Linked DNA regions of Diceros bicornis minor. The protein of the gene in region 1 interacts with the protein of each later gene in a pairwise test. Links are inferred from orthologs where the notes say so. Each region holds a gene or a part of one and is shown on either strand. Other genes may lie near its edges.

Region 1 (7,979 bases):
TGTGGGAAGGTCGCTGGAGCTTCCATGACCTCTCCAGGAGACCCACTCTTCCAGCACCTCCACGTGTTCACCAACCTGGAAACGCCCTGAACCCCCTACTCTCAGGATGTTTATGGAGGTTTCCTCACGTAGGCATGATCAATTATAAGCTCCATTTCTAGCCCCACTCCCCTCTCTGGAGAATGAGGCTGAAAATTCCAAGCTTCTAATCATGGCCTGGTTTTTCTACTGACCAGCCCCCACCCAGGAGCCATCCAGGAGCCCACCCAAAGTCATCTCATTAGACAAAAGACACTGCTATCACCCAGAAAATTCCAAGGGATTTAGGAGCTCTGTGCCAGGAAACTGGGGCAAAGACCAATATATATATTTTCTATTATTCATGCCAAGTGTTTACATATTGAAGTCAATATTATATTTTTACAAATGGCTTTCATTTTATTTACGCTTGATATTGCTCTTAGAGCATTATTTTTGTTTGAAAATATATACATAAGGTATATATCTATGAATTTCACTTCAGGGTAGTAAAGGGGATATTACAAATATAAGTTATAAAACAGTGGACACTGATCTGATAAGGTGGAGAACCACTGCTCTTGATACTAAAAGAACATGCCTTAAACACATAAAATCTTTTTTTTTTTTAATGATGCAGCGATCAAGAAGTTACACCCTTCAAGAAACAAATCTGATTAGCAAATAGACGTGTTCCAGGTCTATGATCCTAGAAGAATATGAAAGAGTGAGAGTGAGAGAAAGAAAGTGAAATTGCTCTATAAGAGACTTTTTGTTGTTCTAGAAAGAATAAAAAAGACACCTGTCATCAAGCTGAATAGATGTAGTTATAACAAGATTTCAGAATAAAATCAATCACCGTGGTCCTATGTGGTCCCCCATAGGCTCCAAAGAGCTATCCAAATGCAAGGTGTATGATATCCCACACACTGAAAACCAGACATGGTGGGACATTTGATAACCAAACCAGTCCCAAGAAACAAAGGTTCTCTGCACGTGCTCTGCCTTCCTTCTTGCTACCATAGAGGCGGTTCCCCCATTCCAATCTACGGCCAACCACATAACCTGTGCTCTAGATTTCATCCTTCCTCCCTTCCCCACCCATTACCCCCTTCCTCTCTATCATTATCAATTTCTCCTTCACTACTGAGTCAGTTTCATCTTTATACAAATATGCCTTAATATCACCCTCTATAAACAAAACAAAACTTCAGTGTCTGAGACTGCTAGGGCTCACTGATATCTATTTTCTTCTCTTCTTTCTGGGCACACAGCTAAATTACATTTCTTAAATTATATTTCTCAGCCCCCTGTGGAGGCCATATGGAAAGTCGACTGTGATCAGAAGTAATGTATTCCTCTTTCAGGCCTGGCCTATAAAAATCTCCCATTCATGATCTTCTACTCTTTTTCCTTTCCCAAGGTGACTTTGAAAGCCACATGTTGCTGCTACAAGATAGAAGGCACCAGGGTCCCTGAGTTACTCCTGGAAGAAAGTTATTCAATTCACATTGGACTGTGACTCAAATGGTAAGTAGACTTTAATTATGTTAACCTGTTGAGACTGCAGCTGTCAGTGATAGCCCTTAGCCTAACACAACTCCACAACCGCTCCAGCTATCGCCTCATTTCTGTTTCCTTTAACACTCTTCAAAGAGTTGTCTATACTCATTGTTTCCATCATTCTCTTCTCAACCTCCTCCAATTCAGGTTTTATCCCCACCATTCCACTGACATGGCTCTTATCAAGGTCATTAATGACCTTTATCTTGCCAAATCCAAGGTCATTTCTTTATTCTCATCTTTTTCAATCTCTCAGCAACATTTAACACAGCTGACCACTTTCACTCTTTTTGAAACACTCTCTGGGACACCACAGTCTCTTCATTTTCCTCCTACTTCACTGGCAGCTCCTTCTTCTCCACCACTTCTCTAAGACTTGGCGGATCCTCAGTCTCTCTAAATTTTTTTTTCTGTATCTGCACTCCTTCTTTAGGTGGTATTATCTTAAATGAAATGCTGCTGACTCCCAAATCTTTATTTCTAGCCCTGATCTCTCCCCTTAGCTTTAGTTCTGCATATTCAACTGTTTAGTGGAATGTCTAAACATTCTGCATCTGTAACTTAACATGTCCAAAACACAACTCTTGATCTTTCCCTCTCAAACCTCTTTCTTCACCAGCCTTCCGTTGTACCTGGTTGCTCAGACTTTCTATCCTATTGCTTTATTTTCTTTATAGCAATAAAGAAACAAATATTTTAATAATAGTAATTTAAATGATCTTATTTGCTAACATACTTGATGTCTTCACGTGGGACAAAGCTGCATGAAGGGAGAAATTTTGTCTTGTTTATTAGTGTACGTGCCACCTCCTAAAGAGCACCTGGCACAGAGTAGATATTTGTTGAACTGAATGACCGGTTACCAACAACTGTAAGCTCTTGGGGAAAAAACACCATGTGCTATTCTTCTCTATAATCCCCAACAACTAGCTGCCTATTATCTTTACAGTAATAAATTTTTCCCCAGCATAAGTCCCAAAGAAAACCAAAATCACTGTTTGTTGTTGTTTTTAGCCCATCCATCAGTTTGTCTTGTAATCTTCCTTTTTTTCTAATTAAGTTTATCCTGCACAAGTAAAAGATTTTCACTTTTCAGATGTGGACTGGATCTTTGAAAAAAGGGTTCAGCTACTTCAAAAAATAGTGAAAGGGTTTTACAAAAAAAAAACCTTTAAAAAAGTGAGATAATATAAATCCACAGCTTAATCATGTGACAAATAAAAATAGCCCTGGAAATCAATATAAACATGCCATCCTCTTAGCGAGGAGATTTAAATAAGTCAGAGTCTTTGAAAAATAAAAGATAAAACTTAATTAGTTCAAAATTCTGTAGTGTTACTAAATCTCATAAGGTGCAGCTTGTGATTTCATAGATTGGAGTGCTTTTGGGACTGGTCTGGGGTCCTGCAACTGGGACAGATTCTGTTTGGTCCAGAACTTTTCAGTAAACAAACATTATCCCCTCTTAAGTTAAAGAAGCACCTAAATAACCAATCAGTTTCTGGAGGTGGAATATAAACAAACACATACAAAATATTTTCCATTCCTATTTGTCCCTCACTCTCCTAATGGATTCTTAAACATTTGTGCTGTTTGCCCTTACAGCTCTGACATTTGGGGTTGTAAGGGTAAATAAAAGCCTAAAAACTTAAATTAAAAAATTTCCCTGGTGCCAAAAAGGACAGAGAACATTACCCTCTCCGTTTTCACTGAACAATTCCTTTAGAAAGACCTAATTTGTAAATGATTTCTCTGTCTCTCTTAAATGTTTGTACAGCTTTTAAAAACCTAAATACGCCTCTTGCCAGTTTTGCATTCCCCTAAGGTCTTTCTGGGGTCCTTGGAGCCATCTCTTTGAAATGTGAACATTAAGGAGGATGGTGCCCCATCTCTCTTCCTCTGTGGGAGTTTAAACCTCGGCTTTTGGCCCCAAAAATGTAACTTCCTATTATTTTTCCTTTGGATAAAGACAACAGGTATGTAATGGATTGTCTCCCCATGGCTATATAAAGTGAGATTTTTTTTTTTTTGTCTTTTGTAATCTCCTTAGCGCATCACAGTGTGCTTATTCAATAATTAAGCTGTTTCATTCTTTTCTAGTTTTCTACATTTTGTGGAGAGGATATTTTGGGGTTGGTAGATTTTATTTTTAATTATTTCCCCAACTGGGTCCTCCAGCTTGGCACCTGTATGGCAGGCTGACATTCCCCATTCCCCCTTCAGACTTATTTTAGGCAGTAAGGGATAGCGGAAAGGACATAGAGCTTTGGAGTCAGACAGCTTCTGGGTTTAAACTGTGCTTTTCTTTTTACTAGCATTCTGAGGGACTGACTTAACTTCTCCGAAGTATTACTTAACTTCTCTGAACCCCGATTACCTCATCTATAAAATGAGGATAATACTACTTTATAAATGAGGTAAACTGACACATGGGAGGTGCTTAGCACATGAAGGAAACCAAGTTACACCAGATTCCTGCAACACACTAAACGTTCGTTCCAGTCCCCCCTTCCTTGTCGGTATCCTCGTCAAATGCCAAGACACTGTCCAGTTCACTAATTGTGAGCACACCGCGTAATGAGACAACGAACTCACAGCGCGGACCGTAAGAGTTTAAAAAGTTTTAGTAGGTAAAGTACGTCAAGTTAACAAAGCCCTCGCATTTTAGACATAAAGGGGGAAAGTCAGACTGCGGGGGTCCCCGTATGCAAATACACGAATTACAAAAGAATACAGACGACAGCCGCTTCCGCACTTCCCCGCGAGGGCGCACCGGGACGCCTGCGCCGAGCCGCCTGCCGGCGCGGGGGCGGCGATTTGCATGTGCGAAATCGGGAAGAGGGGGAACCACCCATCGAAAACCCCAGGCAGTCGAACCCCCCAGCCGGGAGGGCCAGCCCTACTTCGCCGCCCGGCCCGCCCCCAAGTGCTCCCGGGCGGCCGGCCCTCTCGACGTCACCGCACCCTCCCACCTGCTCCTGAACTTTAAACCACGCGCCGAAGAACAACCCGGAGGAGGGGGATTTCTCAGGAGCCGGCAGCTTCCGCACGCTCGGGACCGTCACCTCCCGGGTCCCAGCGTTCCCTGCGCTCCCGAAGATCCCGCGCTCCCGCTCCCCGGCCCGGGTCCCCAGCCAGCCGCACTGCCGGGAGTGGCCGCGGGGGCGGGGCAGGGGCGGGGCGGAGCGCGGGCAGCCGTGGACGGACGCGCGCGCGCCCGCCGCCAGGACGCCCCGCCCCCCGCCCCCGGGAAGGCGGCGGTGAGGGGCCGACGTCAGCCGCGGGAAATCCCCCTCCCGCCAGGCTGCCCGCCTGTCGGCCTCTCCGGTGCTCGGCTGTCGCCGCGCTCCGCCCCCTGTCCCTGGCTCCGCAGCCTGGACCGGCGGCGCCGGGTGACCCGGAGCGCGAGAATTAAGGGGGTGGGGAAGGTGTGAGCCGCAAACCCAGAGGAGGCCGGGAAGGAGGAGGAGGCCCCGGGGGTGGTCAGGGGGACGGGGGTCCCGCCGGCAGAGGTCCCTCGGCCGCCCGACTGAGCGGCGGGTCACTGACTACGGCAGCCTGCGTGCGATCCGACGCTTGGAGCGGGGCGGCGCGGGGAGCGGAGCCATGGCCTCGGGTGAGTGTCCCGGCGCCGACCCGGCCCGGGGGGAAGGAGCTAGTCCGAGGGTCTTGCTGCCCAGAGTTTCCGGGCGCAGTTTTGGTTGTGGCACATTCGGTCTTTAAAATCGCCTCTTCTGGCAAATTGTCGGCCTTTTAAAAAATTACCTGCTTCAGGGTTTGCGTGCGAAATCAAAGTCACGCTCTGTAATTTGATGCCATGATGATAGCTGGGACCTTAGAAATTTCCAACGACTTGGTTTTAGGATTAGGGAAGTAATAAGAATCTAAATAAAGGAGGGCAAAGAATTCTCGTATTTAAAAAGTGATTTATATTGAAATGGTTTTAGAACAGGAATGAGGAACATTCAGACCTCAGGAGAGCTCTACCTTTTTTGGTTTAATTTCATCAAGTGCCAAAGGGTGATCGCCGTTGTGCTGCGAGTTGTGCAAAATGTGGTGCGGCTTTAAAAGTCACCAGGGGTATTTTAACAGGTCTTAAGTGGAAATGTTGCTTGATCGAAGTGGATAATTTTTACTGTAAAGTGCATACTTTCTAGTTTACGGAGCAGAAGTCGATTTTTGTTTTTGTTTTTCCCCCTTGTTGGAAAGAAGGGGAAAAGAGGATTTTTAGAGTACTCGTGCTTTAAAATATGAGTCGGAATGAAAACAACTTTCTATCACTTATGTAAATATTTATTTTCAGTTAATAAGTGCGTGGATCTCTTGTTTTGGGGGTAAACCAGTTAACCAAGAAACAGCTAGAGGTCAGGGGAGGGAGTCTCATATCGTATGCAGCGAAGGTTTAGGTCCACTTGTAACCTAAGGGAAGTAAATCAAGTAGACTGCGTTGGAGATGGACCTTGACAGGATTCTGGCTAGGTTCATGAGGGCGCTTTCCCGGCAGAGGCAGCAGCGTGAGCAAAGGCAGGCAGGCCTAAAAGTATACCTTAACACTATACTGGGAGGCCGAAGAGGGGGGCTTGTTTATGCTTGACCCGCATCCTCCCAGCTCCCTGGTTCAGTGACCCTCAGAAGGCTGATGTCTAGCAGAGAAGAGGAAGTAGAAAGCATAAAGGACTTTTTTAAAGGCTTGAGCAGAACAATGCTGTAGCTACTGCTGTAGGCTGAAAAGGAAATTGGGGTGGTTCACATGACATTTGATTTCAGTTTGTCTGTGGTTTTCATGTGAGAATACAAGTGTAGTCTAAAATATTTCAACTTTCTCTTTACCCACTTCAGTGACCCCAAACTTTCAGATAATCTTGTAAATTCATAAATTCAAAGCATATTTAGATGAAAAGTGCAAAGATGATTTGAAATATTTGGTTAATTTATTGGTTACCGGAAAGAGATTTTGTATGAAAGAAGTAAAGAATGGCGAGCATTATAAATAAAGGTCAGCCTGCTGGCAGTTTAACCAAACTTTGTTAATATGAATGCAGTACTTCTAATTCTTTCAGAAGACAGAGAAAAGAATTAACCATTTATATAGAGAGTATTGTAAGACCCATATCATTTAAAAATGTGATACAATTTAAACTTGTTTGATGACATTATATTTTGTGCTGTTTTGAAAATGTATTCCCTGAATTGAAGGGGAAAAATTTAAAGGAATGGAAAGTTGTAGGGTAATTATCTTTTTTTAAAAGTTTGCCTTTTCTGGAGTTGCATTCAAATGGGGCTATTTAAACTATAAGAAGTTATTTAAATTGTAATTCATTTATTTGAAAACTGCTAAGCAAAATTTTTAAAAGGGAGCCTGGATGTACTTTCGTTAATCACTTGTAAAGACCTCAGAGAAAAAGATTCGCTAAATTATAAATTCCCATCCTGTTTTGAAACAGTAATTTAACCAAACGAGTAACAGAAAAAAAATTTGCTTAGTTAATCATTGTCTAGTTTGGATTCTGTTTGTAGTAAGGTAGTATTAAAACCTCAGAAAGTATTTTTATTGATTACCAAGCATTTAAGACCATTTCTTCATTTTTCACCGGATGTCATATGTAAATAGGTATGTGTAGTTGAATATGTGATCTGTATAACAAAAAGTAACAGATCATAATCTCATAAGCAAAATTATATAAGTACCATGAGTAACTGGGACTTTGGTATATATATGATTCTACATTTTGTTCAGGTAAATTATCAGATTAATTATTTAGGATTTCACAGCTCGAGTTCTATTAAGCTGTCTTTATTGCTTTTTTTTTTTTTTAATTATATCCCGATTGCAGTCTTTTGACATGATTAATTAGAATAGGCATTTTTAAGAAAAATGTTCCCAGTCCGATCTAGGGTATGCATAGTTAGGCAATCATGACTTTTGTATATGTATATAATTCTATTCTGTTTAATATAAGTTAAATTATCTATTTTATATCTGAATTTAAAGCTTCTCATTGCTCCAGTAGAAAGTGCAACCTGTTCTTGTGTGCACATAGGTTTATTTACTAATAAATAGTACTGTCTTTGGTAAAATATGTTTTAAAATTTAGGTAATTTATTTTTATTCAGTTTTCTTTAGTATAGTTCTGCTATGTCACATAATAGGAAGTACACGAAGAAATTGTTTTTGTAAACCGCACTACTTACCAACTCTGTCTGTAGTGTGAATTTCAAGAGAACTATTTCTCTTGAGTAAGGGGAAAAAAATTAATGTAAGTATGATGCGACAATCTTTAATGATAAAGCTGGAAGCTGGAATTGATAGCTAAAGCAAATGACTTCTTTTAAGTAAAAGACTACGCACATAAACATGAAGGCTGTTTCAGAAATGCAACACATGAAAATGTAGCGAT
Region 2 (7,424 bases), on another chromosome or scaffold:
CACAAAAAAAAAAAAAAAAAAAAAAAAAAAAAAAAAAAAAAAAAAAAAAAAGAGTTAAATGAGAGGCTTGGGTAGAATAGGCAGTGGTGAGAGAAAGAAAGGAAAAAAGTCTCAAAAGGCTGGCAAAACACAAGGTCAGGAAAGGGCTATAGGAAAAAAATTGCTCTGCATTTAGAAGAACAGGCAATTTGAATCTGAAGAGCAGTAATAAAAACTAGCAGGAGCTACAAAAAGGAAGACTCGCACATTTCGAACGTTGGCAGTTATTATCAGGGGTCAGCAAAGCCCTATTACGCCTTGTTGCATTTTTTTGAATGTGAATCAACACATCAAAACACATTGTTCTGTTAGGGGCAGCAGAAGAGTTACCAGATTAACTTTCCTTCATCATCTAAAACCAATTTTACAACTTCACATACATAATGTTTATGTAAATTATGTATTCTGAAAGGGTGTGACTTTTTAGATTTAACTCTCGTGTCTAAGCAGTACTGTATACTCAAATATACTCAGGACTCCTTTATACTCTTCAAAAATATTGAGGATTCCAAAGAGCATTTGTTCATGTGGGTTAAACAACATTGTGTTAGAAATTAAAACTGAGAAATTATTGAAATATTAATAAATAACTATAATAAACTCAGTACAGGCTTATGTAAGTAATATATCTTTAGTGAAAATAACTGTATTTTCCAAAACAAAATCTCTTTAATACCTAGCTTAACAGAACAAAGCTGGATTTTCACATATGCTTTTGCATTCAATATGTTGCATATGTTGTTTTTATTGAAGTATATGAAGAAAAGCCAGCCTCCAATATAGTTGGAAAGGGAAGGAATATTTTAATAACTTTTTCAGATAATTGTGGATATTCTTCTTTAATATTACATTAAATCAAGACAAATGGTCGTTTTGTAAAGATTAGTTGCAATGTAGAATCTGAAATGTTATCAGTGAACTTTTGGTATTCTGTTACATTAAAATCCATTGGCCCGTCTTGAACCTCCAGCGGATGTTTTACCCATGCGTGATTTTGTAACATCATGCACTGGTCACTTGGAAAATATTGGTTCAATGGTTTATGCAGATCTTCCAAATTTTGACACATTTCATTGTACAATTTCAAGCAATCACATTTGTTATTATCACCACCAATTTAATCAGAAATGTCTTTAAGTGTATTGAGAAGTTGCCAAGTTACAGTGGTAGATATGTTTTCGAAAACTAATTTTCAGTTGAAAGGTTGAATTTTATCATTGGCAACAAATTCTGCCAGTTGTTTTCCTTGAAGTGACAGGCTCACATGTTCATTTTTGATAAAACGTCTGTAAAATACCCAACTCTTAATAAAGATAGTTTGTCTCAATCGTTATTTTAAGTAAAAATGGTGTTCCATGAAAAAAGTGGCTAGTTCAGCTCACAACTCAACCAACTGCACAAGTGCTTTACCATGTACTTTGGTATGCAGTGGAAGGCCTTATGTATCCTTCCCAAGTATCACATAGACCATTAAGAAGACGTACTTGAAAGTTGAGGTTTAATAAAATTAATAATTTCTACTGCTTCATCAAAGACATTTTGAAGTGGAACTGGCATTTTTTAATAGTGAGTGTGTGGCATTAGTAAAATTATTGGTAGTACAGTAATTGTTTTTGCTCAGTATGCTTTTACATCATTCGTACAAGTGTCAACACAGTAAAAAGGCAAATAATGTCTTAGTTTTATAATGATAATAGTTTGGGCAATGCAGACTGACCCCTGAAAACATCTTACGGACACCCAGGTGTCTGCAGACTATATTTGAGATGAATTCTTCTCATCCCTGCCAGAATGTAAATCTTACAACTTGAGAGGTTTTTTTTGTCTCTTGTTCACTGATATGCCTCCAGGGTCTAGATCATGCCTGGCACATAGTAGGCACTCAATACATATTTAATTAATTAAGTAATCAATCAGAACTAGATCATAATAATGAAGAGCTTATAATCTGCATTACTGGAAACCCATTTTAAAAAATTTAGTTTTGAATAGGTAAAATATACAACAGGATACATGGTGAAAAGTCTCCCACTTTGCCTTCCCCTAGGCACTTAAGTTGCTTTCTCAGAGACAACCACTGTTGTCAGTTTCTTAACTATTTTTCCAGTGATATTTTATGGATTCACAAGCATTATATACACAAGAATATTCCTTTCTTCCCTCACGCATACGGTGGCATATTATACACATTATGGACTGCATAGTGCTTTTTTAAAAGTAAACTTTTTCTTTTGGAATAGTTGTAGATTTACAGAAAAGTTTCAGAGATTCTTGTATACTGTTTACTCACTTCTACTAATATCAACATCTTACATAACCATAGTACCATGTCAAAATTAAGAAATTAACATTGGTTCAATACTATTAACTAAATTACAAAATTTATTCGGATTTCATTAGTTTATGTCCTTTCAGTTCTAGGGTCCAATCCAGGATACCACATTGGGTATTTAGCAAAGTGCTTTTTTCCCTTAAAATGTATTTTCAGGATTGTCTCATATCAGTTAATATGCAGTTGCCTCATCCTCTGGAAGGACTGCAGAATGACTCCCTAGAAGCAGAATTTCAGGGCCAATGATTATGTGCATTTAAAAATTACCAAACCCCTCTTCCCCAAAGAAATTACCATACCCTTCTTAGCAGTCCCCCCTGTGATTTGAGTGTTGCAAGCTTCTTTGAAGTTCCAAGATTAAGACTGGGAACTGAATGAAGGTTATAAATGTAACGTACTCAAAAAGTTTCTTTGCACACTTCAGAATAATTATTTTTAATGTACTGGCACAAATACAGATATGTATCATTGCATGATTTACATTATACCAATAACTCGTACCATGACCCACATATATAGTTGGTTCCTGTTGGGACCACTAGGGGGCTCTGCTGGAAGGGTTTTTATAATTTATGTTAGTCCACTCAGCGAAATGTTTCGAGATAATGCTTTAGAATTCTGAACTCTTAAAACTCGAAAGACATCATCTATTTAACCCAGCTTCCTTATTTTGCAGATGAGGAAACCAAGGTTGGCCAAGAAAGCTGGCATGGTGGAGAGCTGGAATCAAAAATCCACTCTTGGTCCCCGTGGCAGGAGTTCAAGAAACTCTTTGCCATGTGCCTCCACTGATGATTCACACCAGGGGCTATTTCCTTTTTTGCTGCCACAATTTTAGAAATTTTTGCTACGACTATATATTTGTGATATTTTTCTAATATGATACTTTACTGATGGGTTAGGTGAAAGAAGTGCATGAAATATAAACTTTATTACTTATTCCAAAATGTTCTATTCGAAGTACCTCTCAGCACCAAAACCATATTATTTACTGTAAACCCTAGAAACTACTTTTCAATTGCCTTTCAAACTTACTTTCCTCTTAAAACATTTTACTTTTATCTTTACTCATTTATTCATTCAATATTTATTGAGTGCCTACTAGCGCTAGACACCGTTGTAGTCCCTAGGCTTCGGAAGCAAAGCTACCCTTCTCCCCAAAGAAACAACTATTTCTCCATTTTTCACTTTAATACATAAACTACCTTCACATGCCTTAGTTCAGTGGTTCTCAGAAGCAGCCAGCATCTGGGAACTTGTTAGAAATGTAAATTAGGCCCACCCCACACTTTATGGATAGGGTCCAGCAATCTGTTTTTTTAACAAGCTCTCCAGGGATTCTGATGTACACTCAAGTTTAAGAACCATGGTTTTAGTTCCACGGCTTGGTATTAGTTATCTAAGTAGGTCAAAGATCAACATCTGGCTTCTAAACCCACTTCAGGCATCTTCATGGAGTACTCGTCTCAAATACACCCGATAGGACCCAACAATGACCATATTTAATTCAGTGATTTGCAGTACCTTAAATGACCATAATAATAGTGACACTACAATGGTTTCAGAGCAAACACTGACCGCAGCGGATTTTCTGGGCCTATACCAACAGAAAGTGGGCCGGACTGAGTTCTGGGATAGTGTGTTCGTACATTAGACACAGCCGGCCACATCAAACCTCGAAGTTTTGGGTCTGGGAGTCAGGACGGCGCTGCAAGACAAGTGGGGCCGCGTGAACCCGTCAGGTTGGACCCGAGCCTTCGGTCAGAGGCTAGGGGCTGGAAGCCCGGACAACAACGCACCGGTCTGAAGATGGGCGGAGGCGCGGGAGAGGCCGCGGGAGGCCCCGGCAGAGCCGGTCAGCACGCAAGCCGCACCCTCCTGGCCCCAGACGCCAGCAGGGCGGAGCCACGCGGCCGCAGCTCGGGCAGTGGCGCGCGGCGCGGCGCGGCGCGGGCTCGCGGCCGAGGCGTATGGGGCTACAACGGGAGCGGCTGCGTCGCCCGGCCGGGTCAGCGTCTTGCGCATGCGCGGACCCGGCGCCATTTTGGTGGCCGGGCGCGGAGGTGATTCTACATTGAGGAGAGCGCGGCGGCCAGGGTGGCAGTGGCAGCGTTCGTGTGCTCGGGTGTGAATCGCCGAGGGAGGAGGCAGTGGAGGAAGCGGTGGCGGCGGTGGCGGTGGTCGTAGCGGTGGCGGAGGAGGCGGGTACGAATCAGCTGCGGGCGGAGACATGGCCAACATCGCGGTGCAGCGAATCAAGCGGGAGTTCAAGGAGGTGCTGAAGAGCGAGGAGGTCAGAAATGAACTCCCGGACATCCCCCACCTCAGCCCTGGGCGGGAGGGCCCTTCCGGCGGCGACCCCAGTATTCCCGGTAACCCCCGGGTCGCCCTCCTTGTGGCCGCCCTTCTGCCTGTGGGGAAGCGGCAGTCTCCCCCTCCTTCCGCCGCTTTCCCCTCTCCTCCTAGGGCCCTGGGATGGACGGTCTCGCGGGCGGGTGGTCTGGAGAGGAACCCGGTTTGGGGGGGCGGATGGAGAAGGGCACTTTTCTACGGGATGTGAGCTCTAGAGAGAGCCCCGAGGCTGTGGCAACAGCTGGGAGTGTGGCTGTAGGGTGGGGAGGGAGCAGGCCGAGCCTGAGAAAACCCGGGAAGTGGGTTGGGGGAAGGGGAAAGGTGGTAACTGGATCCGGAGAGCCGCGCTGCTGAAAGGCCCACACTTTTAAGGGTATTCTGGGATATAGCCTGTCTGGCCTCCACTGTCCTGTCCTTAGGTATTGATGAAAGGAGGAGGACATTCAGAGTTACTCCCTCTTAGTTGGATGTTGGGAGAGAAGAGGAGACATGATGGGATACTATCTTATTTGAGTGGGGAATAAGGGAATTTTCACCTGAGATAGGAAATTAATTCCAAATTAGAGCATTATTTTATTTGCACTTTCCCCCAATTCCTAGGCCTCTTTTCTGTTGACGTCTAAAGCTTTTTGACTGGGTAAAGGCCAGTTGTTTGGTGTATTAAAAACGTTTAAATATTTTTAGCTAGGAAAAAATAACAGTATATGAGTAGCTTATTTCAAAATATTGTTTACAAGTTACCGATCAGAGTCTCTCCTAAGACAATGCCTCTGTGACTCTGTTGTGTCGTGCCATGAAACTTCATTATGATGTCCCTCATAGTTAACTTGATTCTTACTTTTGAAAAACAGCCATATTAAAAACATGGGATTTCACCAGATTAATACATTGTTATATCTTTTTATTAAGTGAGTAGATTTATCCCAAGATACCGTATCTGAAATGATTAAAAAAAAATTTTTTTGTCTCAAGCTGCTCTTGAGTCCTGCAGAATTTAAATACTCTAGCGTTGACCACATTTATTTATATAAGATATTCAAAATGTTCTAGTAATTTGATTCAAAATTGTGCAAGCATCAATACAGTTTTTCATACCCAAATCAACAATAATGTCAGGTTGTTTTTCCTCCTTGGATTTAACAAAGATTAAGAAGTAATACTGAAATGGTTATTTTTTTCAAGATGTCACATACCATTATTGAATGTATCATTGCTACTTGTATTTTTCTCTTATGTTGGTACTTTGATAATCTCAATGATTTGTGAAATTCAGCATTCTAAGTATGTGATGAGTAATTGACATAAGTTTGATAGCACTTGAGCTTTATTTGTGCTGCTGAATCTACAGTGATTATGTATCTTTCCAATTAGACAAAGAATAATTCTTTAAAATTATTGAAAAATGACAAATACTGACAGATTTATTGAATGTAGTAGTATATAAGTAATGGTCCGTTTTACAGAGCATGTGTATGAACTCTGACCTCTGTATTTGTCCAAGTGCCAAAACTCTGAATGGAAGGATGACTTTGTATTTTTGTGGTACAGTGCAAAAACAGAGTCATAAATGTCTGTGCTGATAATCAGTGAAACAATAATTCTAACTTATTTAATAAGAAAATATATTCCAGGATAGTAGACATATATATTCTTGATGACAGTTGTAGCTAATATTGTTACCAACAGCCTAAAACATTTCTTATAACGTTGTACAAGCCTGAAACTTAAAATAAGACTTCTAATGCTTTATTTTCTGTTACTTGAAAGTGGTCAAGTTACTGCTCTCATAATTCGTCTCTGCTATATATGAGGTGACTTTTCACCATCATATTCTTGGTACTTAACTTGAAGCTTAAAAGAAATCTTGTATTGCTCTAGTAATGCATATTGTTAAAATAATACTGCTCTTAATATGTTAGGGATGATGAAGCCTTGCTTCAAGTAAATGTCATAGTGTTTTTTAGAGGTAGAAACAGGAAATGCAAACAGACAAATTATTTTTTAAGAACAATATCTTTATAAATCTGGAAGGAAACTCTTCCAGAAAGTAAATTGCAAAGAACATTTAGGAGAGGGTTAGATAATTTAATCTTGGAATGTAACCGATAAATAGCTCTATTTTCATCAATATTTTATTTCATCGTTGTTTTAGTAGGCCCAGTTCTATAAATGGTTTATGTTGGTTATTTTCAACTCATTGAAGGACTTGTAGTACAGTCCATGTGTTTCCTTTTTAAGAATGTAAATGCAGTATTTTGAATGGCTGGTCAAGTAATCAAGTATTTCATCATGTCACCTATGTAAATCTCCAGTTTACCAAAGTTTATTTTATATGTTTGTGTTTACTAAGAAGAAGGGTTGATTTATGGACTTTTTTTTACCTTTTAAGTCTTTTGAAAAGATAGCTGATATTTGCTGAATTCTGGCCATAAGAAGTTGTAAGTGGCCATTCTTGGAGTGTGGAGTTAATTAAAATATAGCTTCAAGATAAATCGAATGTGAAAAGCAAGATGCAGAATAGTGTGGAGGAGGCTGTCATTTGTGTCAGAAGGGGGGAAATCTGTGTATTTGTATAGGTGAAAAGATTAGTGAGAAATTGGTAAAATTGATTGCTTTTGGTAGGAGGATTTGGTGTCTAGGGCAACAGGCATCAGCAGATCCCTTTTGAATTTTGAGTCACGTGAATTTGTTATTTACTGAA
Region 3 (7,929 bases), on another chromosome or scaffold:
CCAGAACACCTTCCCCTCGAAGCAGCTGATGGATCTCTGACAGCTGGTTCACAGACGGACCGCCACACAGCCTCACACAGATCTCCTCCAACACCTCAGTGACCCTTTCCTAACCCCCTCCTCTCCTGACAACCTTCAATGGCATGGCCATTCCTAAGCAGCCAAGTTCAGTCTGCTTGCCAACCGAGGTCTTCGTCAAGAAGGCCCAACTTGGGTTTAATCTTCCACTACTCCAAAGACTCACAGTCTCAAACTGGTCAAGTCTTTGTAGGGCACTCATAGGCCTGGTTGACATACTGCCCCCCACTGTGCTTCGCTCTTTCCTTCATCCATATTTTTTTTCATGTTTGACTACCTACCATGTACCAGGCACTTCCAAGAGCCTAAATTAGTGGCTCTGCAGTAGAAAGGAAAAGGAGATGGCAGATCAAGTGCCACCATAACGGGAAGTGGCCTCCACTAATCTAAATTAATCCTCCGCTCATGCCAACTTCAGTGAACTCTTGAATGTGTCCCCTCTGCCAGTGTTGCGCCTCCCTGGGATGCTGTAAAGGAAAAAACACAAAACCTCTTATTTGCCTTTACCTTTTCCTTTGGGGGTTTTCCCACCAATCAACTCTGCAACACCAGCTGGTGTCTACAATTTAATTAAGTTCTGACGCTATCTACCTGGAGTTAGTGTCAGATCCCACAGCCTAAGGGCTCAGCCCAAGACTGATTCCCCCCTCCCCCCATGCCCCACTTCAGACACCGATCGCAAGTCCAGGTTGTCACCTGTGCTTCTGACCTGTAAATGTGAGATTCCCAGGATCCCTCCTCAGGTTTGATTAATTTGCTAAAGCAGCTCACAGAACTCAGGAAAACATTTTACTTACTAGATTACCCGTTTATCATAAAAGGGTACAACTCAGGAACAGCCAGATGGAAGATGCACAGGGCAAGGTATGGGGAAAGGGGCACGGAGCTTCCATGCCCTCTCTGGGCATGCCACTTTCCTAGCACCTCCATGTGTTCAACAACCCGGAAACTCTCCGAACCCCGTAGTTCAGGGGTTTTATGGAGGCTTCATTACATAAGCGTGATTGATTAAATCACAGGCCATTAGTGATCAAGTCAATCTCTAGCCCTCTCCCCTTCCCAGAGATCAGGAGGTGGGGCTGAAAGTTCCAACCCTCTAATCATGTGGTTGGTCCCCTGGCAACCAGCCCCCATCCTTAGGGGCTTTCCAAAAGTCACCGAATTAACATAAAGTCAGACGTGGTTGAAAGGTGCTTGTTACGAATAACAAGATGTTCGTTTCACCTTTATCACTCTGGAGTTATTTCAGGACAAAAGACCAAATACTATAACAAAATATTCTCCTATAGCTCTTATTGCCTAGTAAATTACAAGCGTTTTAGGAGATGTGTGCCAGGACAGGACGAAGACTAAATATATATATATATTTCTTATTATAAATCCCAATATCACAGATGCCCTTCCTTCCTCCTCTTTACTGGCTCTTCATGGCCCACCTCCAGGCCCTTCACCTGGGTCCTGACAGGTGAAACCCCAGCTCCCTGCTGCATCATCCCCATCTACATAAACTTATGGGACTTAACCCTCAGAGGCAACGTAGTCCTTCAACTCACAGAGGAAAATAAGGCCAGAGGAAGCAGTCACATGCCCAAGATCACACAGTACCTCAGAGGTTCAGCCAGCATCAGACCTAGATTTGTACTTCTGCCACACTGCCACACTGCCTATAGAGATCTACATTTTCTAAAGCAGACAGTGTTACACCAAGGTCCCTCAATCCCCACTGTCACCTCTGGACATGTTCTAGCCACCCAACACTCTTCCTCCTCCTCTACACCAAACTCCTACTCATCTATCAAGACTCAGCTTAAATATCCTTTCACCCAAGACCCTTTCTAGACCCTCAACACCCCTAAGATGGGAGTAGGTGCTTCTTTGTGTTCTCACAGCTTCTTTGCACTTCCCTTATCCAGGATATTATAAGCTGTTTAATCAGGATAGCATAACTTTCTGCACTTTGACAGTGAACATCATCCAGGTGAGAAGTATGTCTGTCTTGAAGACCATGGTGCCTTCTGCCCTCAGCACAGAAAAACTAATTGAATGGAAGGAGAGTGTTACCTACTCTTCACTCATTTAAGGGAGTCAGTCACTCCCACTCTTAAGCTAAGACCTCTCCCCAAAAGCAAAGAAAGAGCCACGACCTTCTTCTAGGCCTCCTTCTAGGTGGTAGGGCAGTAGGAGGGAGGGCCAGGAAACCTGCGGAGAAAGTGGCCGGATGGAAGACTGAATGCCAGGGTTCTAGGCCCCTTCTGCGCCGGGTCCTGGGGCCAGAGAAAGCAGTCAGACAGGCCGACCTTTGCCCTCCACAAAACTCGCAGAGTCTGCTCTGTGACCTTGGCGTAGTCCTGATCCAGAACCCGAATTTCTTTGTCCCAAAACAACGATGACATCTGCTTTCCTTACTGAAGAGAGGAAAGCCACAAGCTTTGAGAAAAGACGCACTTCCTAAATGTCAATTACTGACTCCGGCCGGGACGCGCTTTGTGCCCTGGGGTGGTCCCTGCTCTGGCCTGGGCTTCTCTTTCCCGATCTGTAACAGGATCCTGTTGACCTGCGTAACCTCATGAGCCCGACCCCTAACTCGGTTACCTCTGCCTGCACGGCCGAACCTCTCAGCCCGGCTCGCCCCTGGCCAAAAGGGAACGTGCCCTGGCCTCCCTCACCTGTCGGGGGTGCGTAGGCCCGGGCTTGGGGCGGGGGGGTTGGCCCCGGCCTCACGGAGGCGATGAGGCCACGCCGGGGCCCGTTCAGGAGGCGGCGCCCCTCGTCCCGCAGCCGGAGGCAGGTCCTCCACATCGCACCCGAGGGCCTGGGAGGACGACAGGCGCGAAACCTGAGAGCAGGAAACAGAGCGAAGGGATCCGCAGGCTCCGGCTGTACGGAAACCTCTCACTGCCTGCCCCAGAACCCTCAGCCTGCCCTGGACGCCGCCATCTTCCGCATGACACCAACGGCGCGCCGTCGCTCGCGCGCGCATCCTGCGCACACCCCCAGTCAATCAGCATCACAAACGCACCTCGCCCCGCCCCCTCCACGCCGCGTCTCGGGAAGAAGACTACAAGTCCCAGAGGGCCCCTCGCGCATCTCGCCACGTGTTTTCTACACCCGCCAATGGGTGGAAGCGCCGCGTGAGCCTGCTCCCGCCCCCCCGGCGCGCTCGAGCCAATTGGAGGGGGTGGTGTGTGTGCGAGGGCAAGTGGGGAGGGGGACTCGGCTCAGGACCAGGAGGCCCTGCTAGCAGGTCCCGGGGTCCCGGTGGCGGCCGGAGCGCTTGGTCCGCAGGCAGCGGGCGGGTGGTTCCCCCCTCCCGCCCCAGCCCCACGCGCGCGCGCGCGCCCCGGCCCCTCCCTCCCTGCCACCCTCCGCGGCTCCCGCGCGCCGGCGGCGGTTCCTCTCCCCTCCCCCCAGCCCTGGCTCCGGGGGACCCCGCGATGCCGGTCCGCACCGAGTGTCCCCCGCCGGCCGGTGCCTCGGCCGCCTCCGCGGCCTCGCTCATCCCGCCGCCGCCCATCAACACCCAGCAGCCCGGCGTGGCCACCAGCCTGCTTTACAGCGGCTCCAAGTTCCGCGGCCACCAGAAGAGCAAGGGGAACTCGTACGACGTAGAGGTGGTGCTGCAGGTGAGCGCCGGGCCGGGCCGGGCCCGAGGGCCTCCTCGCGGCGCTCGCGGGCCGTGCCCGCCCCCGGCTCCTCGAGCCCGCAGCCGCGGACCAGGCCCTCGCCACCGGGCCTCCCGCACCCGGCGCTTCACCCCCGGACCTGCCCAGCTGGTGTCTCACACGCTTCGAACCCCAACCCTGACCTGCCCCCTCACACCCGGAGCCTGTCGTGAGCAGCTCCTGGCAGACCCTGAACACTGTCCCAGACATGAAGCCCGTGACCGGCCCGCCTGGGATCCGGAAGCCCCTTATGACTCGCCACCCTCAGACCAGGGTCCTTCCTCTCCATGACCTGTCGCCCAAAGATCGGCCCTCCCTCGTTCCCTCTCAGATCTTGAGGAGCTCTCCACTGATTTCTCCTGACTCGGGACCCTCCCCATGGCTAGGCCCATGTCTGATTCTCCCAGACCTGAGACATGCCTCCTTGCCGCCTTTCCTCCCTCCCAGGAATCCTCAGGCTCTGGGGCCCTCCTCCTCCTCCTCCTAGGGTTTCGTCTTTGGGACGAAGCTTAATCAGCCCCCTCAGATCTGGGAGCACCCAACCCCCTTTAGCCCCTGAGAGCCCACAACCTACAACTGATTCCTGGCTCGTGCCCCCTCCCCCAACACCAGGCACTCACATCCTGGGTGCTGCTGGGAGAGCCTCCTCACAGTATGTTAGGTCTTGTGTCATGGGACCCCCTACTGCTCCAGTCTCTTCCTGGCTGGGACACCCAGGCCTCCTGCCCCAGGCTTCTCATACTCCTTACCCCTCTTTGGCCACTTCCAGTCTGCTCCCAGTCTCCCTGGCCTGCCTACCCAGATCTTCCCACCCCATGCCTTCGTCTTCCTCCTTTCTTGGCACCAGGGGACCCTCTTTCCCTGTTCTTAACCCTTACCTACACAGCCAGGCTTCCTGCCAGTCTCTGATACCCATGTACTGGAAATCTAACTCACCCAGTTTTAGTTCTCACATGGATAGTTCCTTCTCATGTCTATCCACCTCCCCCGATTTGACCTGGATCTCTGAGTGTCTGCTGCCAGCCCCTGATAGCTTTGGAACTACAGCTTCACCTGCCCTGGCCCTTTCCTGCACCTCATCCCTCTCATGCAAGTGGTAACACATTTGGCATTTTTTCCCCAGCCAAAGGAGATGGGCAGTGGTTAATGCTCCTTTTTCTCTCCCTTCCTTACAAAACTGTTCCTCCTTTCTACCTACCCTTGCCTGCCTTAGGACCCACTTCCCCCCTCCCTCTGCGCCTTTATCCTTAGCCTGACACCCCATCTCCTAGGCTGTTCCCAGAAGCCCGTCCTAACAGCTGTCCCCTTGAAAGGCCTTACAGAAGCTTTGAGGTCCTACTCTGCTGCCTTGCTGCTCCCATGTGAGGACAGAATGTAGGATGTGTCTTTTCCTTAGGCTTGCCCTTTGCTCTTTTGAAGTTTTAAATCTTAACGTCTCTTCTGAACAAGTAGATCTTCCACCCAAAAGACTGAGAGCATTTTCTTATTGCTAACTGCAGAGCATTGATCACCCTCTCTTTTCTTACTGTTTTGTTGGAATAAATATTTTTCTCTTTTTTTGACTGGGAAAACTACATCTTCATGTTAATTGTGTCTTTGGTCTATAAACTTACACTTCTGTTATGAGCCATGATATTTATTGTAAGTGAAAAACTATTGTGACTGAGGTATTTCTGTCTTCGTAATTGTAGGCCTCACGTGGTGATCCCCCATCCCTTTTGCTTAAAATGTGAGAATTTAGTATGAAAGTACAGGATTTTTTTTTTTTTTCAAGTAACTATAAAATTCTGCAAGTGAGATCCCTGGTGTGGTCGTGTTTGGAATGATCTTGAATTTGTGCCCATTGTTAAATTTGATGGTTTCTGATGTGGTTGGGGGACAACTGGCATGGTAGCTAAGTGTCAGAGAGAAGGCTGCTCTGGTTACTGTGGCAACTGCTGTCATTAGTGTGTTGTTTCTGAATTCCTGTCAGGTGCCAGTTTCCTTGTGAGCCAGTGGAAGCGGTGATTGAGTTGGTGCACGATTGCTATGTCTCAGGGCAGCCCAGAGCAGACACCTGGCGATGGCTGGAAGCCACTTGAGGAGGATGTCTGTGGCGGGTCGGGGGGTGGTCCTGCCCAGGAATGCTGCGCTGCATCTGGATTGGTGAGCTGTTTGTCAGTCATTGAAACAAGTCAGTGGCATGTGAATTGCCCCATCATCTGGTTTTTCAGCCAGGACTAGTTTCTTGGACTCTACCTTCCTAGAATACTTCTGCCTTTTATAACTCAGCCTCTTTCAAGCTTGCTTTTTTTCATATCAGCTTAATTGAGTTATAATTCACATACCGTAGAATTCACCCATTTAAGGAGTACAATTCAGTAGTTTTTAGTATATCCACACAGTTGTGAAACCATCACTGCAATCTAATTTTAGAACACTTTCATCACCCCGAAAAGAAATCTTATACCCCTTAGCCATCACCCCCCTCCAACCGTATGCAACCACTGATTTTTTTGTCCTAAGATTTGCTTATTCTGGACATTTCATGTAAATGGAATCATACAATATGTGACCTTTTGTGTCTAGCTTCTTTCACTGAGTATAATGTTTTTAAGGTTCAACCCATGTCACAGCATGTGTCAATGCTTCATTCCTTTTTATTGTTGCATAATAGTCCATTGTGTGGATATATGACATTTTTTTTAATCCATTGCTCAGTTGATGGATATTTGGGTTGTTTCCACTTGTTGGCTCTTATGAATAATGCTGCTGTGAGCATCCATGTACAAGTTTTTGAGTGGACAAATGTCTTCAATTCACTTGTGTTATACCTAGGAGTAGAATGCTGGGTCATATGGTAACTCTATGTCTAACATTTTGAGGAACTGCCAGACTGATTTCCAAAGTGGCTGCACCATTTTACATTCCCACTAGCAGTGTCTGAGGGTTCCAGTTTCTCCACATCCTCCTCCACACTTGCATTGTCCGTCTTTGTGTGTGTGTGTGTGTGTGTGTGTGTGAGGAAGATCAGCCCTGAGCTAACATCTGATGCCAATCCTCATCTTTTTGCTGAGAAAGATTGGCCCTGGGCTAACTTCCATGCCCACCTTCCCTTACTTTATATGGGACGCCACCACAGCATGGCTTGACAAGCGGTGTGTGTGTCCGCGCCCGGGATCCGAACCTGTGAACCCCGGGCCGCCAAAGTGGAGCGCGCACGCTTAACCACTGTGCCACCGGGCCGGCGCCTTGTTCATCTTTTTGGTTGTAGCCATCCTGGTGGGTGTGAAGTGGTATCTCACTGTGGTTTTGATTTGAATTTCCCTAATGACTAATGATATGTTGCTCATCTTTTCATGTGCTTTTTGGAGCACTTTCTTTTTTAGAGATTTCAGTTTGAAGAGTTCCTCAAACCTTTGTGAGATTCTGACGGGGTTTTTGTTGTTGTTGTTATTACTGTGACTGTTCTGTTTCTCCTCTGCCATGCAGGAAGCCAAGAGTGAACTGAAGGCCAGGGTCACTGTGAAAGAAATATTAAAAAGAGCAGCTGTTGGACACAGCTGTGCTGTGAAACCTTCTTTGCTAGACATTTGCCTTGTTCTCTTTCTTGTGGAGATGCTGGCCTGTCGTTTGGTTAAAGCTCTCTGGGTTGTGGTGTATTTGAGTTCACCAGTCGTCATCAGGATCAGTTTGGGCAGAATGAGCGAGACGCGTGGTTGAACAGAGGCCAGACTGAAATTCTGGTTCTTGAGCATGTGATAATCCAGGCAAAATGTTAGCCAGTTTACAGTTCAGTTTTTAATCTCATTAGCAGATACCCTTGCCACCTGATGCCCTTTCCAGCAGCTGTGAGACCCCAGACTGTATTGAATTCAGTGAGAACTGCATACATGAAGTTTGAGGACTCAGGTTAGAGCTGTGTGTCCTCTTAAAAGATCTTGGCTGAGCCACGTTAGTGCGGATCAGCTGCCTTAGGTAATGTCCAGTGCCAGGGTCAGCAGACGCTCTTGCAGTTTTCATGTGGAATACTGTTGTCACCAGCACCGAGCTGGGAGCACTTCAGCCTCATTGAAGCCCGCTGGCTGCGGTGCTGACCTCGCCTGGCTGACTGAGTTCATTACAGTTTTGGGGGATTGCCTTAGTATTTGATTTATGGTGTAATTGGAAATAGTAGATCCCTGAATCTGATAAATTCCACAAAATTTTT
Region 4 (6,944 bases), on another chromosome or scaffold:
TAACAAAGCCTGCATAATCCTTCATATTCAGATGCAAATTATTAAGAAGGTAATATGAAAGGCCGTGTGACTTGGCGAAGATAGTAAGTAGATGGGGTAAAAAAAAGGCTGAGAGAGAGAATGAAAGACTAATAGGGGAAGGGAGTGAATGATCAGCTAAGTGACCATAAGATACCAATAGAAAATCTTGAGTTAAAAGCCATCAGGCTAAGTCAGAATTCACAGAATCCTAGATGTTTAGAATTGTTCAAGGCAGAATTTTTAAATTCTCCATTGCAAACAAGTACAAAGAACGAGGCCATATGCATCACAGCCATTACCTTTATGCTTGGGTCTAGATTTATGAAAGAGAGGTGGCTTAAGGACTCACTGAACTGAATTCATCTATCTTAAGCACACTGAAGTGTTTTTAAACAAAAGGTGATGACTCTGACTAAGATGAGAATTATTATGGTTCTCAGAGCTGCAACTTCACCTTGAACTGCTGGGTAACATTTTCCTTTTGGTCCCCTGGTAAGCATCTTCCATCTGCTTCTCCAGTTCTCTTATTTTCCACATATCTGATTCCTCCTGAATCTAGATTTTTTTAAAAGGAAAGAAATAAAAATAATTTAACAAAAATAACACAGAAAAGTAATTGAAAATATGGTCTGCACTAATTATTGGATTACAGACTGGGTTACAATCAGGAACGTGGGAAGCAAATTCTGGTTTCTCTAGAGTGGTTAAACAATCTGACGCAGTAAATCTCAAATATGTAGAATTCTGCAGCAACAGAACTTTTTAACCCCTGCATAGACACACTTACTACCTTATAAATTTTGCAGTTATGCTGCAATTAGCAAATGATAATCCTTATGTTTCTAAAATGCTTTGTGATTTTAATTGTATCACCTCAAGTGAACCTTAAGCAATCTTATGAGGAAAACAAAGCAGGTACCATTATTACATCTTATTGAGAAGAAACAAAAGCTCAGAGATTTTATCAAAGTCAAAAAGCTAGTAAGGACAGGTCTTTAAACTTTCTAGGCTAAGTCTCTTCTCACAACATTATAATTTTTGTTAAAAACAAAATAGAACAAATGAGAACTGCTAGAGAATTTCCTGAAAAGCAAATTACAATTGCCCAAAAACAAGAATACATTTTATTTCTAAGTCTTTCTGTAATGTTTTGTTAAATCTGTGGTAGATTTATCTCTTTTAGCCCCCACTTTCAAATCTACGCTCATTATCCAACCAGGGGTGGTTTAACATGATGACAGAGGCTGCTTAGGTAACAGTTATACCCTCACTCACAATCAAAATATCAGGAGATATGATAGTAATAACACTTATGATCAAACTAGGAGTTGTACAGTTCACCAAAGAAAACCAAACAAGGATTCTGGGCCCTCTTTTCATCATATGTGCTCTCCTAGGTGACTTCATCTATTCTCATGACCTCTATCAATTCCTGTATATCAATAATCCCCAAACCTTTACATCCAGCCTCAACTTTTCTCCTTTCCTCCAAGTCTGAATTTCCAACTCTTTGGACATCCTATAAGCACCTCACCATCAACATATTCAAAAGCAAACTAATTACCTTTCCCATCATACTTGTCCCTTTTCTTTTGTTCCCTATCTCAATTAATAGCATCATCATTCACCCAGTCAATATATATAACACAAGGTGTTTATATTTGATTCTATAATTATCATTATCATCCAATAAGTCACCAAGTTCTTTGGAGTCTATCTCCTAAATTCCTCATCTTCATCCCTAGTATCACTGCTTTCATGTGAACCCCTCATTATCTCTCACCTGGAACATTGTAATTACCTCCTAATTGATCTCTCTACTGTTTCACCCTTCTGATCTAACCCCTACCCAGCTAACAAATCATCTTTCTAAAATACAAATGCAATTATGTCACATCCTGCTTAAAATCATTTGATGGTTTCTTTATTGCCTAGAGGAGAAAGTCTAATCTCCAAGCATCATAATCCAACTGTAATTTAGCACTCGGGCCTCATCTTCTGTCACTATCCCCCACATTCCCTATTTTCTGGATGCACACAATTTCTTGCCATGCCCCAAGTGCTTCATGCTCTTTCTTGTTGCCATCTTAGTACATGGTGTTCTGTCTGGAATGATCTTTTACACCTGGTAAACTTGAACCTGTTCATCAAGAACTAGTCCAAATAGCAGCAGCTCAAATACCACCCATTCTGTGAAGCCTTTCCTAATTCCCCAAGGCAGATTTCATTATTCCTTCCTCAGTGCACTAAAGCACTTTGTATACGTCTCTAAGTACTTATCAAATAGTATTATAATTATCTATTTTATTCATCTTTTGTATCTCCCAACTGTACCAAAATAATGCTTGGCACACTGCATGCCCTCATTAAATGCTGAGGAATAACTAGGTTCTACCTCTCACCTTATTGTGAGCATCTGTGTGCCGGATGACATTCCTCAGGAGGACTTTCCCCAATGGAACCCGGGACATTCTTCAATCTGAAATGAATCAATAAATAACATTTAATAATAAAAATTCCCTTTAACACCTTGTCTTTTATTACAATGCTATAAAGAAGCATAAGGTAAAGGAAAGATCACTGAACTCGAAGTCAGAGATCCTGAGGAACAGTTTTTCCTTCACCATTACAAGGGGAAAAAGCCTGACCACACTAATGTGAGGATGAAAGGAGATAATGTACACTGGAGTTCTTTGAAATTGCACAAAATTAAGTGCTTTCAAAAGCAAGTATCATTTTATTTAATCCTCAAAATAACTCTATATTTTATATGAAGCAAGTATCTTCATTCCTACTTTATGGATGAAATTTCCTTCAAGCCATAACTTGCTCCAGGCCACACAGCCCAAAGCAAACAAGGTCCTGATTAGAAATCAACTCTCGCATCCCAAAATTAGTTTGCGATGAAGCAAATACCTAGATTTGAGAGTGTCAGGGACCACAAATGTCAACAGTAACAAAAACCGACGCCGAAAAACATCGAATGCAGAGATGCCCTCAATTTCTCCACCTAGGGGAATTTTATTTTCTATTTTGACAGGGATATTCACGTGTGCACTAGCAGGGGCTTTGTGCAACCATCCCCCCGCTCACTCACCCCTCGATCCTGAGGAAATCAGGCATCTTGTTAGTGTGAGACGAAGAACCACTCCATTACAAGATCTCCTCCGACCCAGGAAGCCAAGGAGTCAGGGCTCAAAGGCAGCTCTGCAGCTTCACCCGAGTCCTTCGTGAAAACGCAGCCTTCCCACCGGTTATTCTGCCCTCACCCGCGGCCCAGGCCGCGGCGGCCTTTCCCCCAGCCCAGGCCGACAGCAGGTACCTCTCCGGACTGAGGCCTGAGGCTGCGCCGGCGAGGGATCCGGACGGTCGGGGCGGCTGGGGCATGCCCCGCTCACGCTCCTCTGGGACGGACCCAGGGGGTGGGTTTCGCTCCCCAGAAAGGATGGGGACGCTTTGGAAGGGTATGACCGTCCACTGGGTCCCAAGAAGTATCTAAAGTGCCTGAAGGGGGAGTTGAGTCTTCCAACTGGAAGACAGAGAAAATACCCCCATTTTTGTCACCGGGATCCCTGCTCCCCTGGGGCCACAGAGCTCCCGGTAACCTTCCCTCCACACGCCCTCCCCACACAAATGCACACAAACACACCCATACCGTGCGCCGCAGCCTCGCGTGGCGGGGGTGGGGGGAGGAAGCGGTCTGGGAGGAAAGGAAGCAGGCTTCCCTTTCAGGCCGGAAGTCGTGCTCCTGAGAAATTCTTCCCACCAACAGGAGACCCAAAAAGACTCCCACAGGGAGGGTCTCCAGGACGCGCTAGAGGTCGACAGGTGCAGAAGGGAGACGGGCGCCTTCCTGAAAAAGAAGTGGGTCGGGCTCAGCTGAAAAGCAAGCTCAGCATCAGAAGAGGGAGATCCCTCCGGAACTGGATGTAAAAAGACCTTTCTGTCTGCAGCTTCCCGGACCCAATTAGAGGCTGTACCCAGCCTGGTTACCCTGGTAACAGGTGTAGCGGTTTGTCAAGGAACTGAGAGAAGAGGTGAGTCGGGCGACCTCCGGAATGGTTGTCGGTTAGTTAAGTTTCCCATTTAGTCTAATCCTAATATAGTGTTCGAAGAGCCCAGACCTCCTCTTCTTCTCGTTCTGTGGATGCTGTGGGACATCTCTCCAGTGAGGGAGGAGGGTGCGAGGGAGGTTATCTCCAGTCAGAGAGGATATTATTACACGCATATAGTGTTAACCAGGTGTTCAGCCTCTCTATATTAGCTTACTTAATCCTCACAATAACCCTATGAGATAGGTATTATCGTCTTCATTTGGGGGACAACAAACTGAGGCACATATATAAATTATTTCTCAAGGTCACACACCTAGTAAGTGTGGAGCTACGATTGGAATCTAGGCGTTCTGGCTCTCGAGTCCATACTTTTAAATACTAAGCTGTGCTGAGGATTGAGGAAGTCGCATGTGGCCCTCACTCCACACACACCCCTGGCAATTTCAGGACTGGATAGGTACCAGTCAGCCAATGCCCAGGTACTGGAATGAGAAAATCACCAGGAAGTCCAGACTTAAAATGACTACTCTGTCCCCTCAGGGCTTGTGAGGGTCTAGGCAGAGGTAAGGCCTTATTTGAGAGGACAACTTGAGAATTTAGGAAGGGTTACTAGATAATTAGAGAATAAGGAAAAGATAAAGTGGTGCTGAGCCCAGTTTTTTCAGACACAGGTGTTAAGGATAGCTGCTAACTTCACCCAAACAATTCCTGACATATTCCTCCTCCCCTAAAAGAAGAAATGAATCAATAGTTACAAAGACTTTTTTTCCCTTAAGTCAAGTCTTTCCACAGACGTAAGAGGCCTATTCACTGGAATCATGGAGTCATCCTCAAAGGGTCTGCTCAGCCAAGTTACTCAATTCTGGAACCTCCTAGATGATCTGGCTGAAAGTAATCCTGAGAGCTATGAGAAGTTCATTCAACAGCAATTGAAAGAGGGGAAACAACTCTGGGCTGCCCCAGAACCGCAGCTCTGTCTACAAACCAGGATCCTGGTATGTAGAGTTGGTGCCCAGGGATGGGGAATGAATGAAATGATCCTGAAATAACTGGAGAATAGCTTACCCTTAGCTATTGCTACTTTAACACAAGAAAACTTGACGGAAACTGCCACTCTAAGTGGAAACAGTAGTGTGGAAGATTGTTTTGAAGGAGTAAGAAAAGGAAATTCATGTTTGATATATTTTGGAGATCTCAAAATGAGCTATTTTTCTGCTAGAATGAAAACAAAGAGTAATGTGATGATTTAATAGAGAATCATAGAGTTGGAGATTTTTCAAATAAAGAGAATTTATTTAGTGGAGGAAGAAAGGAAGTGGTGAAACAGGGTCAAACGAATTCACCTGGAACAGCTGCTTAGATCAAGTTCCCCTTCCTCCTCCCAGTTCCTCTGGGAGCAGCCACTGGATTCTTGATAAAAAGCCAGCAGCTTTGGGGAAATCAGGTAACAGTATAATTTCTCAAACACAGTTTTAATACATGGAATGACTTACTTGGAGCCTAAAATTCTCACTCTTAAAATTCTGTGACCTTTAAGATATTTAAAAACAAAAACCTAGGTTTTGAGATATGCAAAATTATTTGCTTTCTAGAAACCAAAAGAAAAAATACTTTTTATCAACCTATGTCAGTGGAAAAGGATCCCAGCTCCCCAGTCAACCACTCATCCAGTACCTCTAAGTATTGGAAGACCAGAAGATATATCTGAGACATCAGGTACACAGAATTATGGGAGAGAAAACACATTTAAAAATTTTTATTGGGAATAAGAATGGACCAGATTTTACTTGGTAAAAGGCATTACAAGTAAAATATTTTATTTGGTTATAAAGTAGTTAATGACTAAGTGTACCTTTATGCAAATTGAATACTGTTTAATTTTTCTATTAATATGAGCTGTTTTTAACCCATATAAAATGCCACAAAATGCCCTAATTGGAATTTTGTGTATATAGCACCGTTAGGATTGCCTCTGAAAAATACAAGAATAAAATTTATGCTCTCTAGCTTCATCAGGATTATGGCTTAATATATTACCTGACAATATCCTTAGTGAAACAAGTTGTCTTCATCTCACACCCTCTGAACTACACACACAGATCTTTACACAGTCATCGATGTTGCCTACAATCCTGATGTTCTCCAGGCAGCAGAAAAGGACCAAGTGAAGAAAGATCAATTAATATGGATGGCCATGAAATGCATTGAGGAGCAACTCCAATTCACTCTCTCACACTCTTACCATATTACCAAATTTAGAATAAAAGGAAGCATTGAAAGGATGAAACAAAATCTGATGGGAATCCAAACTGACCCCACAGATTTAAGAGAGAAAATGAGAAAGGGTAAGTTAATGAATGTAAACTGAAAATTAAACTGATTTAAATTTTTCTGCATCCTGTGTATATTTTGCAAACTAGAACTCTCGATTTTAAAAGAAACTTAAGATAGAAAAATATAAAGATTAGATATTAGCATGTCCTTAAAGATTTTTAAATCCTGTATACTTTTAAACCAGATTCTTTGGTTTAAGATTCTTTTGATTTAAGATTCCCAAACTAATTTAGCTGCAGTTTTATCTGCCATCTTGGCTAACACTATTATAGGTCATAGCCTGTTAGTATTTTCTGTTGTTGATTAATTGTGTGATTTCATTTCCCCCCTTTTTTCATCAAGAACTAACCCTTGAACAGATAAGAAGTAGTACTGTGAGCAATCCAGATCACTCTCCTCAACTTTTACTGCCAAAAGACCAAGTTTCGGGCAAAACAGGGTGTCTGATAGAAGAGATTTCTAGTGCAGAGATCCAGGTGGAGATGAAGACACCAGACTATGAATTAAAAATTGTGGTGGATCAAAATGAAAAAC

Evidence for each region.
Region 2: the proteins of REL (region 1) and UBE2K interact in binary tests that used the Homo sapiens proteins (3 or more experiments, as listed by UniProt). The two-hybrid records come from large-scale screens. The link is inferred for Diceros bicornis minor from reciprocal best matches to the Homo sapiens genes REL and UBE2K.
Region 3: the proteins of REL (region 1) and ATPAF2 interact in binary tests that used the Homo sapiens proteins (3 or more experiments, as listed by UniProt). The two-hybrid records come from large-scale screens. The link is inferred for Diceros bicornis minor from reciprocal best matches to the Homo sapiens genes REL and ATPAF2.
Region 4: the proteins of REL (region 1) and PIH1D2 interact in binary tests that used the Homo sapiens proteins (3 or more experiments, as listed by UniProt). The two-hybrid records come from large-scale screens. The link is inferred for Diceros bicornis minor from reciprocal best matches to the Homo sapiens genes REL and PIH1D2.

What each region holds. Positions count from the first base shown.
Region 1 is NC_080751.1:26,337,962-26,345,940, reverse strand, and holds the start of REL (proto-oncogene c-Rel), read left to right. Parts: upstream 1-4,979; 5' UTR 4,980-5,187; coding exon 5,188-5,197; intron 5,198-7,979. UniProt on the Homo sapiens protein: Proto-oncogene that may play a role in differentiation and lymphopoiesis.
Region 2 is NC_080747.1:32,620,225-32,627,648, forward strand, and holds the start of UBE2K (ubiquitin-conjugating enzyme E2 K), read left to right. Parts: upstream 1-4,418; 5' UTR 4,419-4,601; coding exon 4,602-4,664; intron 4,665-7,424. UniProt on the Homo sapiens protein: Accepts ubiquitin from the E1 complex and catalyzes its covalent attachment to other proteins. In vitro, in the presence or in the absence of BRCA1-BARD1 E3 ubiquitin-protein ligase complex, catalyzes the synthesis of 'Lys-48'-linked polyubiquitin chains.
Region 3 is NC_080757.1:1,434,918-1,442,846, forward strand, and holds the start of ATPAF2 (ATP synthase mitochondrial F1 complex assembly factor 2), read right to left. Parts: upstream 3,018-7,929; 5' UTR 2,878-3,017; coding exon 2,745-2,877; intron 546-2,744; exon of another isoform or gene 442-545; coding exon of another isoform or gene 360-441; intron 1-359. Other genes in the region: GID4 (glucose-induced degradation protein 4 homolog), read left to right, coding at 3,513-3,701. UniProt on the Homo sapiens protein: Plays a role in the assembly of the F1 component of the mitochondrial ATP synthase (ATPase).
Region 4 is NC_080746.1:24,219,433-24,226,376, forward strand, and holds the start of PIH1D2 (PIH1 domain-containing protein 2), read left to right. Parts: upstream 1-3,942; 5' UTR 3,943-4,058; intron 4,059-4,852; exon of another isoform or gene 4,853-4,868; 5' UTR 4,869-4,894; coding exon 4,895-5,071; intron 5,072-5,668; coding exon 5,669-5,792; intron 5,793-6,175; coding exon 6,176-6,421; intron 6,422-6,752; coding exon 6,753-6,944. Other genes in the region: uncharacterized protein NKAPD1, read right to left, coding at 476-576, 2,424-2,492.